Linked DNA regions of Caenorhabditis elegans. The protein of the gene in region 1 purifies or fractionates together with the protein of each later gene. This does not show direct contact. Each region holds a gene or a part of one and is shown on either strand. Other genes may lie near its edges.

The links.
Region 2: the proteins of sdha-2 (region 1) and idhg-1 fractionate together in Caenorhabditis elegans (co-fractionation; one large-scale study listed by BioGRID). This does not show direct contact.

The regions. Positions count from the first base shown.
Region 1 is NC_003279.8:10,681,343-10,689,485, reverse strand, and holds sdha-2 (Succinate dehydrogenase [ubiquinone] flavoprotein subunit, mitochondrial), read left to right. Parts: upstream 1-3,898; 5' UTR 3,899-3,902; coding exon 3,903-3,961; intron 3,962-4,014; coding exon 4,015-4,193; intron 4,194-4,240; coding exon 4,241-4,393; intron 4,394-4,438; coding exon 4,439-5,113; intron 5,114-5,157; coding exon 5,158-5,425; intron 5,426-5,468; coding exon 5,469-5,658; intron 5,659-5,709; coding exon 5,710-6,108; 3' UTR 6,109-6,216; downstream 6,217-8,143. Other genes in the region: tag-272 (Structural protein), read right to left, coding at 570-630, 1,094-1,154; kbp-5 (KNL (kinetochore null) Binding Protein), read right to left, coding at 1,564-1,656, 1,742-1,836, 1,897-2,116; ndua-13 (NADH dehydrogenase [ubiquinone] 1 alpha subcomplex subunit 13), read left to right, coding at 2,433-2,529, 2,939-3,017, 3,063-3,276, 3,320-3,445; spcs-1 (Signal peptidase complex subunit 1), read left to right, coding at 6,446-6,541, 6,598-6,753, 6,799-6,864; lonp-1 (Lon protease homolog, mitochondrial), read left to right, coding at 7,114-7,335, 7,388-7,489, 7,539-7,630, 7,961-8,143.
Region 2 is NC_003281.10:4,564,764-4,573,394, reverse strand, and holds idhg-1 (Isocitrate dehydrogenase [NAD] subunit, mitochondrial), read right to left. Parts: upstream 4,383-8,631; 5' UTR 4,372-4,382; coding exon 4,246-4,371; intron 4,204-4,245; coding exon 3,991-4,203; intron 3,942-3,990; coding exon 3,813-3,941; intron 3,762-3,812; coding exon 3,657-3,761; intron 3,612-3,656; coding exon 3,399-3,611; intron 3,323-3,398; coding exon 3,179-3,322; intron 3,134-3,178; coding exon 2,945-3,133; intron 2,332-2,944; coding exon 2,260-2,331; 3' UTR 1,530-2,259; downstream 1-1,529. Other genes in the region: Serine/threonine-protein kinase sel-5, read left to right, coding at 140-638, 1,188-1,279; mlcd-1 (Malonyl-CoA decarboxylase, mitochondrial), read left to right, coding at 5,278-5,379, 5,429-5,563, 5,612-5,734, 5,783-6,009, 6,055-6,230, 6,277-6,432, 6,482-6,694, 6,742-6,847 and 1 more; pan-1 (P-granule-associated novel protein 1), read right to left, coding at 7,516-7,668, 7,726-7,994, 8,570-8,631.

The DNA of each region.
Region 1 (8,143 bases):
AGAAAATAGTAATTTATTGAGAAATTGAGTCAGCTGGGAGGAAAAACAAATAAAATACGGGAACACAGGGTAAGCGGGTCTCGTTTCTATGGTGATATTTGGATGCAAATTGGGAAGTATCTTCTTTCTTTGTGGAAACAAATTTGAATGGGAGGATACTGAAGATTAAGTGGGGATTATAGGATAAAAGTGTTGAGATATATATATAGAAAATTGATGTACCCGGGATGTACGAAAAGGATCAAACCGAAAAGTAATTTGTTGCAATTATTTGTTTTTGTTGAAATATCTTAAGCAAAACAAAAGATCGGTTTTCGCTGCGATTTTCCCCCAAAATCAAGACATCGGGTCTTGGCACGATCGACGCTTTTCATCTACAGTAGCCATTTTCTGGATACTTTTTTCTTTAAAATGTTTTTCTTTGGAAAATTTATCGAAAAAATAACGAAAAAAGTTTCAAGAGAATTTTTGAAAAATAAAAGAAATGGAATTGACCGTGGGCAGGGTACGGTAGCAGCAAAAAAGAAAAAGATTAAATTTTGAAAAATGAGAAAAAAAAATCAATTTACCTTCTCGTAATTCCCTCATCCATGTAATCGAAAATGTCCGATCCGTCTTCGCTGTTAGTTTCTGGAATTCTTTAGATAAAGACGCCCGAAACCGCACAAAAACTAAAAAATTTTCTGTGAAAAATTTTCCACAAAAAAACTTCAGCCAAAAAATGTTTACTTCAATACAGATTAGCGGGGGTCATGTGCAATAATATTTGGTGTTTACATTGTCTCGTACATCTTATTTTTAAGCACGAAAATTTTGAATTCAAAAGTTTTCAGGAATTTATTCTGAAAAATGAGAAATTTGGCAGAAAAACTTCAAGGGAGGACGAATTTAGTGGATTGGTCTTGCCGCGCGTTATGAAAAATATTTTGTGTATGCGCCTTTAAATTTACAGTAGGAAGTTACTCTAGGAAGTTATCGAATTTTTAAGTGCATTTTTTTAATTTACTGGTTTAATCCTGGGAGTAACTAGAGAAAGAAAAACAAAAATAAGAATTCAAGATTTAAAAAAAATTTCGAGACCATAAATACTCACTTCTCAAACTTGCTCTGAAATTTTTAGGAATCCCATCGAATGATCCAGTTTTTGGTAACATTTTTACACGATTGAAAGAGCTCAACGCTTCTCAAAACAGTAGAGTGACCGAAGTAATGGTCAGTGCTCTGAGACTTAAGCTCAATGAGCTCCTCCTCGGACGAAAAGTTTGCTCGAAAAGTGTCCAATGCTGCTGGTCACTTTGCTTTTCGTGTTCGCAAATAAAAAGTCATATCTGCGTCTCTCGATTTTCTTCACTCTTCCCTTATGTTGTACTTTTTCTTCCCAATAACACTTCCGTTTTGGACACAAAAACTATGCATAAGTGAGATGTGGCTTTATAAAACAAAATAACTTGTAGATGTACAAAAGATTAGAGAATCACATCATGAGGAAATATGAGAACAGATCGATTTGAATGGAAATTAATTTAAATTGAGGGATAATTGATAGAGATTCATTTGATGGCTTCAGTCTTCGAATTGACTTATCTTCTTCATGTAGGCACGTAGAGCGTCGGTTTCTTTTTTCATTCTCAAAAGTTGTTCAGATGATTTGTGATTCTAGAATTAAAAATAATAATAGAAACGCTGAATGTTTTCAGATAACAAAAAGCATTTCTCAGCTTCAAAATCTCCCCTATCTCACCGATTTAGTGTGCTGCCCCGGTTGGCACTTCCTCTGGAGCTCATCTCGCTCGGCTTGCATCTGCTCCAACGACTTCAGGTCACTATTTGCACAATCTGAATTTAAATTAATTAATTAATTATTATTATAAAACCAGAAAAGTTCCGAAAACCCACCGAATTCCAGTTCTTCTTTCTCGATTCTCAATTGTGCTATCTTTTTGCGATTCGTCTCGATTTGCTGCTCTTCGATGAGAACTTGAGCGAGTAGACGTTCGACTTGTGCATCTTTTCCTAGCAAACTATTCTCGAGGAATTGCTCAGCGTCTTTGAGAGCTTCGAGTGAGATTGCTTGTGTGTACAGCTCGAGGAGGCCTTCATTATGATTTGGATTCATTTTAGTACTGAAAATAAGTTTGAATTTTGTTTGAAAGCAGATTTTTATATTAAAAAAGCAATTTCAAGAAGAAAACAAGCGATAAATGCAAAATACGTCTTCAAAAAAAAAAGATAAACGCGCCAAAATAATAAATCGCTGTGAAAGTGCGCCGCAGTGTTGCGACGAAGACCACGCCCACATTCCCGTGCCGCACATTTTGCCCGACTTATCAATTTCTATTCTGTTTGCAAGTTTTTTTTTCCTCAACGAAATTATCGATTTTTATAATTTATTCGGTTTTTTATCGAATTTATATTCATTATTTTCAGGTAAAATGGCCACTGGAGCAGAGTTTCGGCAGGATATGCCTCCAAAAGGAGGCTATCGTGCATTCAACTTCCATCGCACTTTTCCGAAGCTTGTCTGGAGTCGTGAGTTGTTTTTTTTTGCTTTAAAATATTACTCGAAATGAAACAACGCAAAACGCCGAAAAAATTGAGAAGAATGCTGTGAAATACAGAATAAATATTTTGAAAAACGATTCTCAAGAAACTTTAAAGAATAAAAAGGCTTAGACGCTATTTATAAAAATAAAGCTGTTTGTCTTGAGCAATAAAATATAAATGACAGAGAACGTTTTTAGCATAATATTTTGGGATCAGTTTGCTATTTTGCTGTAATTTTTGATATTTCACACTATTTTCTATAAATAATATAACGCGAAGAATAAATACATTTTTATCAAATTTATTGTTGAAACAGTATTCTATTTTTAAGTTTCTGTCTATCAAATTTTGATTCAAAACACAAAACTTTCTTAAAATCAATCACAAATTTAAGCTGGAACCGTCGTCGCCGCCATTTTCGGAGCTACTGCCTACGGAGTCTATGCTGCTCTTGAAGGAAAGAAGAAGGACATGTAAGATAACTAGTGAATTTATCTCCAAAAATATCAAGTTTACAGCACTGAAAAGTTCGAAGATGTTGACATCAACAACGCAATGGAGCCGTTCTTGACTGCCGAGCGTGACAGATATTGGCTCAAATTGTTGGCCAAGAATCGTGCTCTGGAAGAGGAAATTATGAAGGATGTTCCAGGATGGAAGACTGGAACCTGGTACGGAGAGCCAGTGTACTTTACTCTCGGAGACAAGTGGTGGGATCCAACTGCTACTGAGGTAAAAAATTTATAACAATTCTGGAGCTTATCATATTTTTTAGGTATTCGTTCACTCAAGGGGATCAAATGAAACCCGTGATCATCTTTGGCGCCAACACTCTGAGTACGCTGGACCGAAATTCTACGATAATTGGTTCCCACAATGGATGTCCAAGTGGTTCTGGTAAATACCATTCATCTGGATGGATTGGCAAACTAATCTTCGAGTTCGTGTCCTGCTCTAGGCCCCTATCAATAAAACATCATTTTCTTTTTTTTTTTGTTTTCATTTTTAGACTGTTAGTTTTCGAAAATGAACGACAGGCCTTTGGTTTTTAAAAGTCGTGTTTGTGTATTGTTTTTCTCTTCTGGAATTTTATGAAATGAAGATGTAAATTTACGATAAAATTTCAAATGAAACGTTTCTTTTCAGAAATTTCATGTAAATAAATAGAGAAAAATGTACCGTAGTTGTTTCAAACTTAAAGGCGCAGGAACAAAAATTGAGCGGTGGGTCTCGCACCGAAAGTGTGAACTACGGTGTATCGTTCGCGCGGCCAACTCATTTTTGGTTTCACCTCAACCGTTATCGGATTTTTATTTGTTTTTCTGAACGTTCTATATTTTTCCTGTATTTTCAGCAAGATGCTTAATGTCGTAAAGTCGATAAACCGTGCGAAAACACCTGTTCGCACTTATATGAAGTGAGATAATTTATTTTCTAACGCCATTTCACTAATTTTATCAATTTTCAAAGAAAACAAGTGAGCGCAACCACCAATTTTGATGTCGTTGATCACACTTTTGACGCGGTTGTTGTGGGAGCAGGAGGAGCCGGTTTGAGAGCTGCGATGGGACTCTCCGAAGGTGGAATGAAAACTGCCGTCATTACGAAGCTTTTCCCCACAAGATCGCACACAGTCGCGGCTCAAGGAGGTGAGCCGCTCAAAGTATACGAACAGAATTTAAATTTTGATTTTTAGGTGTGAACGCCGCTTTGGGAAATATGAATCCAGATAACTGGCGCTGGCACTTCTACGACACTGTAAAAGGGTCCGATTGGCTTGGAGATCAAGACGCGATTCACTATATGACTCGAGAAGCCGAAAGAGCTATTATTGAACTTGAAAATTACGGTCAATAAGATTCTCTAACATTAAAAAACAACAATTTTCTTGCAGGAATGCCTTTCTCGCGTACAACAGACGGAAAAATTTATCAACGGGCTTTTGGAGGTCAATCTAATGATTTCGGTCGTGGAGGACAGGCTCACCGTACTTGCTGTGTGGCCGATAGAACTGGACACTCACTTCTTCATACCCTCTACGGTGCATCTCTTCAATACGACTGTAATTATTTTGTCGAGTATTTCGCTTTGGATTTGATTATGGATAAGGGAAAATGCATTGGCGTCGTTGCACTGGACATTGAAACTGGACAGATTCATCGTTTCCGCGCAAAGAACACTGTCCTCGCCACCGGAGGCTATGGAAGAGCTTACTTCTCGTGTACATCTGCTCACACTTGTACTGGTGATGGAACCGCTCTTACCGCTCGTGCAGGTATTCGTAATTCTGATATGGAGTTTGTTCAATTCCATCCAACTGGAATCTACGGAGTTGGATGTTTGATCACCGAAGGATCACGAGGAGAGGGTGGATATTTGGTCAATTCGCAAGGAGAACGATTTATGGAAAGATATGCACCGAATGCCAAGGATTTAGCGTCAAGAGATGTTGTTTCAAGAGCCATGACTATGGAAATTAATGAAGGAAGAGGAGTCGGACCAAACAAAGATCATATTTACCTTCAATTGCATCATCTTCCAGCTGAACAGCTTCAACAACGATTGCCAGGTACGTGATATTAGTGTTTTCAATTGTTAATAATTTTCTTTCAGGAATCTCGGAAACCGCTCAAATCTTTGCTGGTGTGGATGTAACCAAAGAGCCGATTCCAGTCATTCCAACTGTTCACTACAACATGGGAGGAGTTCCTACGAATTACAAGGGACAAGTTCTCGATTTCACACCTGAAGGAGGAGATAAAGTGATTCCAGGACTCTATGCCGCTGGTGAATGTGCAGCACATTCAGTTCATGGAGCAAATCGTCTCGGAGCAAATTCCCTTCTAGATTTGGTTATCTTTGGAAGATCTTGCGCTCTCACGTTAGTTTCATTTATCTGAACAGGTTTAAACTAAAGATTTCAGTATCCTTAATGAGAACAAACCAGGAGATTCAATCCCGGAGCTTCCGGTAAATTGTGAAGAGAAATCGTGTGACAATTTGAACGGACTTTTGCACTCAAAAGGAGATATTTCATCTATCGAATTAAGACAAAAGATGCAAATGACAATGCAGAAACATGCTGCTGTTTTCAGACGGGGCGATCTTTTGAAGGTAAGTAAATACAGATTTATTCTATTTTCAAAAAATATTGGATATTTTCAGGAAGGAGTCGATAAAATGTCCTCCATCTACAAAGAGCAACAAAATTTGAAGGCGTGTGCCGACTCTGGAAAAGTATGGAATTCGGAGCTTGTCGAAACTCTCGAGCTTCAGAATTTGCTTATCAACGCCAATCAAACCATCGTCGCCGCCGAAAATCGCACTGAATCTCGTGGAGCCCACGCTCGTGATGATTTCCAAGAAAGAATTGACGAATATGACTACAGCAATCCACTTGAGGGACAGCAGAAAAAACCGTTTGATCAGCACTGGCGCAAGCATTCCATCATCGGTATCGATACGAAAACTGGAGCTGTTGATTTGACATACCGCCCAGTTATCGACAAAACTCTCGATAAATCTGAAACCGACTGGGTTCCACCAAAGGTCCGATCGTATTAATTCGTTGTTTTGTTCTTCTTTGTTCACATAATTGTGTTCGAGCTGTATGTTTTTTTCTTTTGTGTGAAATTTATTTGTTTCCTGATTAGAATAAAGTTTATTGAATTTAATAATATATCAATTTAAGCTTATTTAAGATTTATTTCTGGTTTTCAATCCACAAATATTTGCAAATGTTCTTCAAAATATGAAATGTGCAAGTGCGCTCCATGGAAAATCTCTATTTTACGTCATTGTATGAAGGAGTGTTGGAACAAAATTATTCCGAATTCGTTTTGCTTTAATCTTTTTGTATTTTTATAACTGAATTTGATTTTTAATTATTACATAATTAACCATGGACGGAATGATTGCAATGCTCCCTGCTCCACTGCAGAAACTATCGTCGCATATTGATTTTCAAGGACAGAAAGTCGCCGAGAGAACTTACCAGGTAACAAACCACAATTGATTGACTGAAATTACATAAAATAAAGCAATAAAATTTAGGTAATCCTCACTATTGCTGGAATTATTGGCTTCCTCGTTGGATTCTGGACTCAACAGCTTTCATATGCCATGTTCACAGTGCTGGGAGCATCTGCGTTCACAGCTCTCATCATTCTTCCACCATGGCCATTCCTCTTCAGAAAGAACCCGATTGTGGTGAGAAAAAGTTACAGAAATCGTATAAAATGTTTTAATTTTCAGTGGCACACACCTGCGGAACCACAAGAATCTGGAGACAAGAAAAAGGAGACAAAGAAGACGAAATAAATCGGCAATGATGCAAAAACTAAAGAAAAACGTTTTACTCGGGATCTGGTCAAATATTTATTTTAAATTAAATTATTTATGAGCTCTTCTTCATTTTTCTGTGTGATATAAGAATCATCTTCTGAACCATAATAAATTCATTTTCAATCTACAACGATTTTAATATTTTATTGACGTTTTAATGCGACACATTTTACTTTTTTATTCTGAAGTCTTGAATCCTCCTATCCTACTCCCCGTTCAACAGAAATGTACCGCGCTGGAGCGGTTTTACTCCGCGGGGCAACTCGCACGCGGCTTCTTGCCGCTGCTTCAGCACATCAAAGCTTTGCCACATTTTCTCAAAGAAATCAATCGATTTTAATGATGAAATCTATGGAATTAGCAGGAAATTCAGGAGAAAGGAGGTTTTATTCCACTCATGACGATCCAATCGCTGTGGATGACTCATTGGAACTGTACAAAGATTTGGTAAGTTTTTTAGAATTTCAGTCATTAAAAGACGATTTTAATTGATTTTCAGGGAGGAATGTCACCGATTCAAGTGCCAGCCGATATGCCAAATGTCCCAATGTTAGCTATCAATCGATATCCACTATTTCCAGGATTTATCAAGAAAGTTGATGTGAGATTAGATAACGTATTTGGCGGAAAACTGAAAATTAAAATTTCAGATCGTGAAAGATGACAATTTAAAAGCACTGATCAGGCGACAGCTTTCACTGAAACAGCCGTATGCTGGAGTTTTTGTGAAGAGAGACGATGAGTATGTAGTTTTTGAATGGATCTCTTCTTGACTTAAAAATGGAACAATCGCCGAAAAACTAGTCATGTGTTGATATACGGAGCTCGTGTACTCCCCGAGGAAATGCTTTTACAGTTTTTGCCTGATATTTTTGATTTGGAACCATTTTTGTTATTGGAATCATCAAATAACAGAAAAAAATCAATCTTCTATATACCGACTATAACTTCTAAAAAATTTATACACTTTTTCAAAATTGTTTTGTATTTTTTTCAATTTTGCAACAAAAAATGGATTAAAATTGCTGAATTATTTTTGAATTCCCGCGCAAATTAGTATATTTTTTTCCAGAAACAAAGAAGAAACGATCACATCTCTATCAGAAGTCTACCCAACTGGTTCTTTCGTTCAAATTATCGAAGTCCGTGATCAGGGAAGTGTTCTTGAGCTGGTACTCAGTGCTCATCGAAGAATTCGTGCTCTTGAACCAATTGACGAAATTACACCGAAAAATGAGACTCCATTGAATGGAAG
Region 2 (8,631 bases), on another chromosome or scaffold:
TTTCAAACTTTCGTTGCTGTAGAATTTTAATATTTTTCGATGAAAAAAAACTAACTTTCGCCAAAAAATGTAATGTAGAAAAGCTTATAAAAACTCATTTTTAAAGTTATTTTTGAGATTTTATAATAGCCCTTTTCAGCCGGATCTACCCACAGCTGCTCCTGTTTCAATAATTCCATCAATGTCAAATACATCGTTTCCTGAAGCTGTTCGAGACTCTGATACAGTCCCTTGTGAGCCAATTATTGGAACTTTAATTTCTGTTGGCGCACCTACGGATCCACCACCACCACCTCTTCCAAAGAAACCAACAGAAGCTTCTCCAACACAAGAGACGACTGCAACGATTCCAGTGGCTTTGGGTAAAAAGGAGAAATTGTTGAAAAAGGAGAAGAAAAAAGAGAAAAAAGATGGGAAGAAGGATAAATTAAAATTAGAAGAATATCGAGAAAAAGGATCCTCTGAACCTGAAACCGATGGATCTGAAGCTGAAATATGGACGAATGATGGAGCAACAACTTTTTCGAATAAGAAAAAGAAAAAGAGCACATTTGGATTACGATCATCACATCCATCAATTGTTGCAAATGATTTGCAGTTCTCTTCTCCAATGCCTCCAGTTGTTAAAAAATCATCCAGTCAGTTTTCAGATTTTTTGTCGGTTTTTAACAAAAAATTCTGAAAAAGAAAGTTATGAAATACGAAAAAAGAGTTTAAGATTTTTGAGTTCTTTGATTTTAAAGAAAATTTAATATTTTTGTAATGAAATTCAACCTTTTTTGATACATCTAGTCCCTACTTTTCTGAAAATAATTTATATTTTTCAAAACTTTTTTAGAGTTAATCTTTTAAAAAAGGTTAACAAACAATTTCGGAAAAACTGGAATATCCGATAATATGAAAATAGCCAAAATATGAGGCTAGGTTTCAAAAAATCAAATTTTTAAAAGAAATTTTCATATTTTTCTAATGAAATTCAATATATTTGTTTGTAAATAAAGTAATAAAGTTTCGATCTTTTCTTTTAAAAAATTTCCGATCGCTAAAAAAATAAAACTGACCAAAATTTTAAAGTTTGTTTCAAAAAGAAACTGAAATTTTTGGTTTTTTTAAACAGAATAATTTACGACGACCCTTCCGTATAGAAAAACTAATGTTTTATTTAAAATTAAAATTTACTGTTTCAGAAGATAAAAAATCGTCACTGACTGGCAAAAATGCATCATTTGTGAATACATCCTTCCAACCGGAAGATCATGATGATCCAACCGACTTGTAAACTGGAATTTTTCATATTTCTTTTTATATATTACACAATTTGTTCTTTTTAGTGATTTGCAATTCACCCTCCCCCCAAAGTTGTCGTTGTGTCAAATTTAGAATCACTTATTTTCTCAATTATTTATTTTCTTTTGGTATTTTCCCGCCAATGTACTTATGATATGTATAATATGGAATATGCTTTCCTTGTAATTTTCATATTTTGGTATCCACCCACGCATGTAGTTGTGATAGACTCAATCTCCCAGTTTCATATGCATATTTTCTGTAATTTATTAATTCTTTTTTCAACTTTTTTTCTGCAAGTTTTAGTACAATTTTTCTGACCCGAAATAAATTATTTCGAATTGAAATGTTCGATCGACATTTGATTTTGAAAAAGAACTTACAACGCATGTTGCTTTCACCAGACCATCCGGTATATTGAACTAAAATTTGTATTAGTTCAATATTTCCTAGATAGTCTGGTGAAATAAAGAATAGAATAGTTGTGGCAAAAAATGAATAATATTAAAGTGAGCTAGGGAGCATTCAAAAAGATACAGTAGCTACAGTAGTAAACTCCGCCTTTTTTCAAGCAGCTCTCAAGTATTGACTAATTAGGTTAAGAGCATATTGGTGGGGGGAGTACTTAACTTTGTGACAGTAACCTAATATTAACATTATTAACAGAGTATCGAATTTCACTAAACCAATTTTATAATATTGTACTATACTGGAAATGAGAAAAATTCAAACAATCAGAAAAAATTAAAATCCAAAGAAAATTGTGGGTACAGAGATGAGGAAGAAAGGAACAAGATAAGAGACATCAGGCGGAAACGTTCAGTCAACGGGGTCAAACAGAGAAAGAGCACAATGAGTAACGCATTATGCTACGAATCATGGATTAATCGAAAAAAAAACAGAGGAAAAGAACGTAAGGGTAAAGCTAGCCACTATGTGGGATGTTTCAAACTTTCGATTATCAGGTAGAAATTAGACACGGTAGTTGCGGTCCTCGAGCTCCTTCTCGATGAAGTCGAGTACTGATTGAACGAGTTCCGATGACTGAAAATTTATTAAATTAAAGTTTTGTAGTGCATTTTTAAAAAGTACTTATAAAGTTAATGTTCTAAAAAGTGAAGTCGTTTTGAAGTTTTGCTTAAAATCATCGAAAATGGACCATAATAACTGTAAAAAAATTTATAACATTTTTTCTATGATTTTTCCAATTTTGCAAGAATAAAAAATGTGAGTTCCGACATTTTTGCCTTTTCCGGCAATTTTTCAAATATTTTTTCCGCAAAGAAAACTTCATAAACCGAAATAAATTCGAAAACATTTCAAAAATTAGCCTAAAACTCGATAATTCATAAATTTCTTTGCGGAAAATGTATGTGTGTTTTATACCAAATACTAAAAAAACAAAATTAAGAGTAATCACTCAGTACAGCCGAAAAACGCAAAAAAACTATTCTACTTATTCGCGCGGAAATTCAGAAACACTTATCTTATTTTTTAATTTTGCAAAATATTAGAAAAATTGTATAAATTTTTAAATTACGGTCCATTTATGGATATCATCTTGAGCAAAATTCCAAAACGACTCTACTCTACTTTTAAATAAAGAAAAGGTAAGAATTTAATATATACAACTTTAGAAAATTAATGAAATTCTTACCTTAGAAGTTCCTCCAATATCAGCGGTGTGAATTCTCTTATCAACAAGCGTACGGAACAATGAATCGGAGATCATATCGGCGTGTGATTGAAGTCCGAGGAAACGAAGCATATCAACGGCGGCACGGATGAACGCAGTTGGATTGGCAAGATCTTTTCCAGCAAGAGTGGTTCCGGTGTTACGGGTTCCCTGAAAAAAACAAATGTTATTTAATATTTTCATCAATATGCTAACTGTTTCAAAGACGGCGTAATCTTCTCCAATGTTCATTCCAGAAACAAGTCCTGGACCTCCGACGAGTCCACAAGCAATGTTTGAAATGATGTTTCCATAGAGATTTGGCATTAACATAACATCGAATTGTTGTGGGCGTGAAACCTGGAAATAAATAAGGATTTTTAATTATTCGTCTTTTTTCAGAACATTTATTTTGATGAATAAATAAACAACCCACCAACTGCATGGAAGCATTATCGACAATCATAGCATTGAATTCAATATCTGGATACTCGGCCTTGGCGATATCAGTGGCTACTTTAAGGAAAAGACCGTCTCCCAACTTTTGAATGTTGGCCTTGTGAACAGCAGTAACCTTCTTTCTTCCATATTTCTTTGCGAATTGGAATGCAAAACGAGTAATTTGTTCCGATTTTTCGCGAGTAACAACCTTTAAATTTGAAATTAGGACTAAATCTCAGTTGATAATCCCAACCTTCAAAGATTCGACAACACGAGGATGTGGAGCATTAACGGCTTCGTGCTCATTTCCAGAGTACTCGCCTTCAGTATTCTCACGGATGATAACCATATCGATTCCCTAAAGCTTTTCATTTGAAATTTGTACAAATCGATTTAAAAAAATTCTTACAGTGTGTCTGCTTGGAACAGTTGGAATAGTGGAACAGTGAAGAACGTTTGCGTAAAGATTGAGTTGACGACGAAGTTCCAAGTTTCGGGAAACGAAGCTTGGGTTATCAAACTTAGTTTCAATGTTTCCCTTCAAAAAAAAAAAATTAAATTTGATTTTAATCTTTCAACAAAAATACCTTCAAAGCAACACCATTTCTCTTGATAGCAGTGATAGCCTCAGCAAGATCTTCAGATGCATCTTCCTTTGAGGTCAAATTAACCACTTCGAAATCTACTGGAGCTTGAACTGCTGAAAGGATTCTCTCGACATGATGGAGCATTTCTGGTCCAATTCCATCTCCTGGCAAGACTGTGACGTTGTGACGTCCTCCATAACGAGCCAGCTTAGTCTGAAAATTGATATTAATAGCAGATAAAAATGAATTACTTACTGTGTTAGTTTGAAGAACTGGAGAACGGAATCGGAGCATATCGGAGTTCGGTGAAGTCGCGACGAACGCCTTTTGCACGACATTCTTCGAAGAGCGAAGTGTATGACCGAGGACGTTGCTCGACATCTTGTTTTTACCTGAAATGTTAAAAAAATGGAATTTACTAGAAAAACAACAGTTTAAAAATGTACTTTTAAAAGTGCATGTCAGAATAGTAGCCAATTTTTTAAATAGAAGGGTATAGTATATTTCAAAACTTTAACAAAAAACATTAAATCTTCCCGATATCATCATTATCATTATGAAAACTCAGATTTATCACTAAACAGATAATTTTCAGAAATTATATGCACAAAAAAAGAGGGCGGAACGAGCCGACCGATTGATTTGCAAGCGCCGCACGTGTTTCTCGCAATTCCGCCGCGCGACATTTTCATTTTCGTCTTTTATGTTTATTTTGTCCATTTTCGTTCATTTCTATCTATTTCAAATATTTTTGCTTTTTCTCTCTATTTGAGGGTTCATTGGTTTGTGTTTACTTCTAGTCTAGATTGCAATTCAAGCCAACTGCCGGGGAAATCCGGGAATTCGAACAGCAGTTGGCGCTTGATTGATTTTCGCCGCCGAATTGTTGTTGCTTCGTTGTTTTGTTTTGTTGGTTGTCTCAAGCGCTTATCAGGTGATCTATTAGTGATTTTTGTGTAGAAATAAATGTCTTAGGATTGTTCTTTAAAGTTTGTTTCATTGAAAACTCTTTGAAATAGTTGTTTCATGTAGAACCTGGCACGCCTTTTTCCAAAAATAGCGTCTATTTCTTATACAGAAATCGGTATCCAAGAAATAGTTTTGGCTGAAGTTACAAAGTCTTTATTATTTTATTAACTACTATTTAAAACGTTAACTGTTACTTGATTATCTTTTTATTTGTTCGTTTTGCTGATTTACATGCTCCCGGACTGTTTCGAGAATGTTTCGCGCTATGAAACTGTTATTTTCCCCCATAGATAATTATTTTGTAGGTTGATGTAAATAATGCTTCGTCGATATTCACATTTTTACTCGATTCGATATTCTTCCACATTATTATCTACTTTAGACGGACTCACAAATCGAACAAGTGGAGATAAGTTACTCGTAAGTTGAACTATATTTTCCAATTATTTGAAAAAATTTTATTTTTCAGACTTATAGCGAGAAGTTTTCCAAATTATATGCCAATTCCACGCCAGAAACTCGAAAATCGATTTTCGTAGATCTCGTCACAAACTATGGTGTAAACAAAGAAGCCCTAAATCATGCGATTTCTCTATATTCTAAGGTTGGTTATTATCATTGACATCGTATGACCAAAAATTGTAAAGTTCAGAATGATCAAATGTACCCGGAAGTAAGAACATCAGCAACAGCTTCTTATGTGAATTTGATAAAATCAATTGGAAATTTACCGGGAGGAGTTATGCAAGTCTGTGAAATGAGGGCTAATATTTTGGTATTAAAATTAAAATAAAATTAGCATCGAATATATAATTATTTTCAGGCACTTCTAAAACGGGAAACTGACAAAACTACAACATCATATCTCCGTCACATTGAACTGGCCACTAGAGAAGTATTAACTTCATGGTTTTCTTTAGGAAATCTAAAATTGGAACGACTTACGTGGTCATCTCCTGGAGATATTCTACAGAAAGTCGCCGAATATGAGGCAGTTCATCCAGTTAGAGGACTTTCAGATTTCAGAAAACGTCTTGGTCCGTTGAGACGGTAATTATGAAATAAAAATAAAAAACTAAAATTTCATTTTCTCAGATGTTTCTATTTTTCCCACGAAGCTCTTCCCCGGAACCCACTTGTGATGGTTCACGTGGCATTAGTTGATGAGATAGCGGATAGTGTACAAGAAATCACAAAAAGAGGAGCACCGACTGGAAAAGAAGAAGATCAAACAACTGCAATTTATTATTCAATCACTTCTACACAGCCTGGTAAAATTTAAGAAATGTATTCATTACATGTTTTATTCGTTTTCAGGTCTTTCTGGTATTGATCTCGGAAATATGCTCATCAAGAAAGTCGCCACTAAACTTCAAAAAGATGTTCCATCAGTCACAACTCATTCAACATTATCTCCGATTCCTGGTTTCCGACCTTGGCTTATCAGAAATCTGAAAGGGAATTCAGAATATCGTAAGCTGTACATTTTTAGACAATTGAGTTACTTTCAATGTTTTTTCAGCTTCAATTATGAATGAAAAGGTTGTCAATTGGATTTCTGATATATCTGAAAGGGAAATGAACGAAGTAGAAGCAACCGAAACTCTACTGAAAGTCATAAGCAATGAAAAAACGAAAAAGGAGCAGCTCAATGCAATCCAGCACATTTTGATGTACGCGTGTGCTCATTATCTTTGTAATGCAAAACGAAATGGAATGGCTTTAAATTCAGTTGGTAAGCATGATTTTATCGATAAGCATTGAAAAAAAAATTATTTTAAGCAAACTTCCACATTAGAAACGGCGCAGAGTTGTATAGACTGAATTGGAATGGAGATACGAGTCATAGAGGGATCAATAACAGTTTTGGAATTATGGTAAACTACAGGTATGACTCGGTCGAACCTTTTTTGAGTCTAAAAATTTAATTTTCAGATACGATTTGGAGAAGGTTCACGAGAACAGTGCAGCTTACACTGAACACAAAAAGATGGCGATTAATCAGAAAGTTTTGGATATCTTCTGAATCTTTTCACCCAGCTCCTCATATGTATTCGAGTTTCAAGAATTTAGTCTAGTTAATGTGTCATATTATACTTGTAACAAATTCGTGTGATTGCTTGCCCAGTTTCTTGTGAATAAAATTTTCGAAATTTTAATTACTTAGTGCATTGTTTATTATGTCATAACAATAATATTAATATTAGAAAAATTGGATATTTGACAGGGATCGCGGTGCCTATAGGTACATGTTGAAAACTTGTTCGATGAAGATTTCAAAAAGATCAGTGGTGGATACCTGATAAGTTGGGTGGTTCAGAAGGGGTGAGAGAGAGAAGTATTGAAGAGAGAGATTGAGAAAACAAGAAAAATGAAAGAACACGTATCGAGTTGGGGGTTGGGACGAGAGAAGGAATAGAAAAGAAAACTTTTCAAATGGCTATTTACAGAAGAAGAAAAGCGAAGAAAAATGAGGTATTCAACCGGGGAGAATATGAATTATTATTATCCAGTGAGTGTTTTTTTGTTGATTTGAGGTTATGAAATTTTTCTTCTTTAAAAATTCTGGAATCGTACAGTCTTCTTCGGCCCAGTATTCCTCTTTGGCATTGCTGGAACGACGAGAATTGAGTCAGATGCGATGTTCAATGGATCATTCTCAATCAGTTTATGAAGATCAGAATCAGAACGACGACCGCGAAGTGGGAACTGAAAATTAAATTAAATAATTGTACTTCATTTTCAGCAGGAAAAACTAATATATACCTGGTATCTAGCATCCTTGAAATAAAGCATAGCAATAATGACCATAATAACAATTGTGACAATTGTCAAAATGGTGGCAGCTACAGTAATCCATCCAGATCGATAAACTTCTTCCTCTTCTGGCATTACTGTGGATCCTTCTTTCTGTCCGCAATTTGGGATTGCCAAGCATCCGAGTGCTCCTTCAGCAACATCTGCCTCCTCAGATGCCTCAAGCCATCGTGGAAGCCATTCTTTCGGGTCGTTGCACACGCAAACCCATGGATTCACTGGAATTTGTTTTGTTGTAAACGCGGACAAAATAATTTAAAAAATCTTCGATGCAAATTTATCGTTTACAGATAGATTATTATTTAACGACGACAATTTTTCTTTATCACAAAAACGTGCGCCTTTAAAGAGTACGGTAGTTTCAAATTTTCGTTGCTGTGGAATTTTCATAGATTTTTCATCGCTGTTCGTTTAAAATATATTTGATTATTAAAAAAACTGAAATTACAAAATTTAAAACTCATAAATTTAAACAAAATCTGAGAAAAACTATGAAAAATCGATCCTAGGGCCGCAACAGCAGAAGTTTGAAACTACAGTACTCTTTAAGGACGCACACCTGTTTCTACTTAACAGAAAATGGCCGTGTCGAGACCAAATACCGTATTTTTGACGCAAAAATTGAAAAATGTTGCGATTCATTTAAAAGTGATGATCAATTTGAAACTTTTCTCGTAAGGTAGGTGAATCATCTATATTGAAAATTGTGTAATTATGAATTTAGTTTTCTTTTTTTTTGTTTCAAATGCTGATAAAAACTTATTTTTAAGCACAGATAAAAGCAGATTCTTACATGAAACATCAACCGCCTCCACAGATTTTGGTGAGAATGAGTCAAATGTTCCTTGATACAAA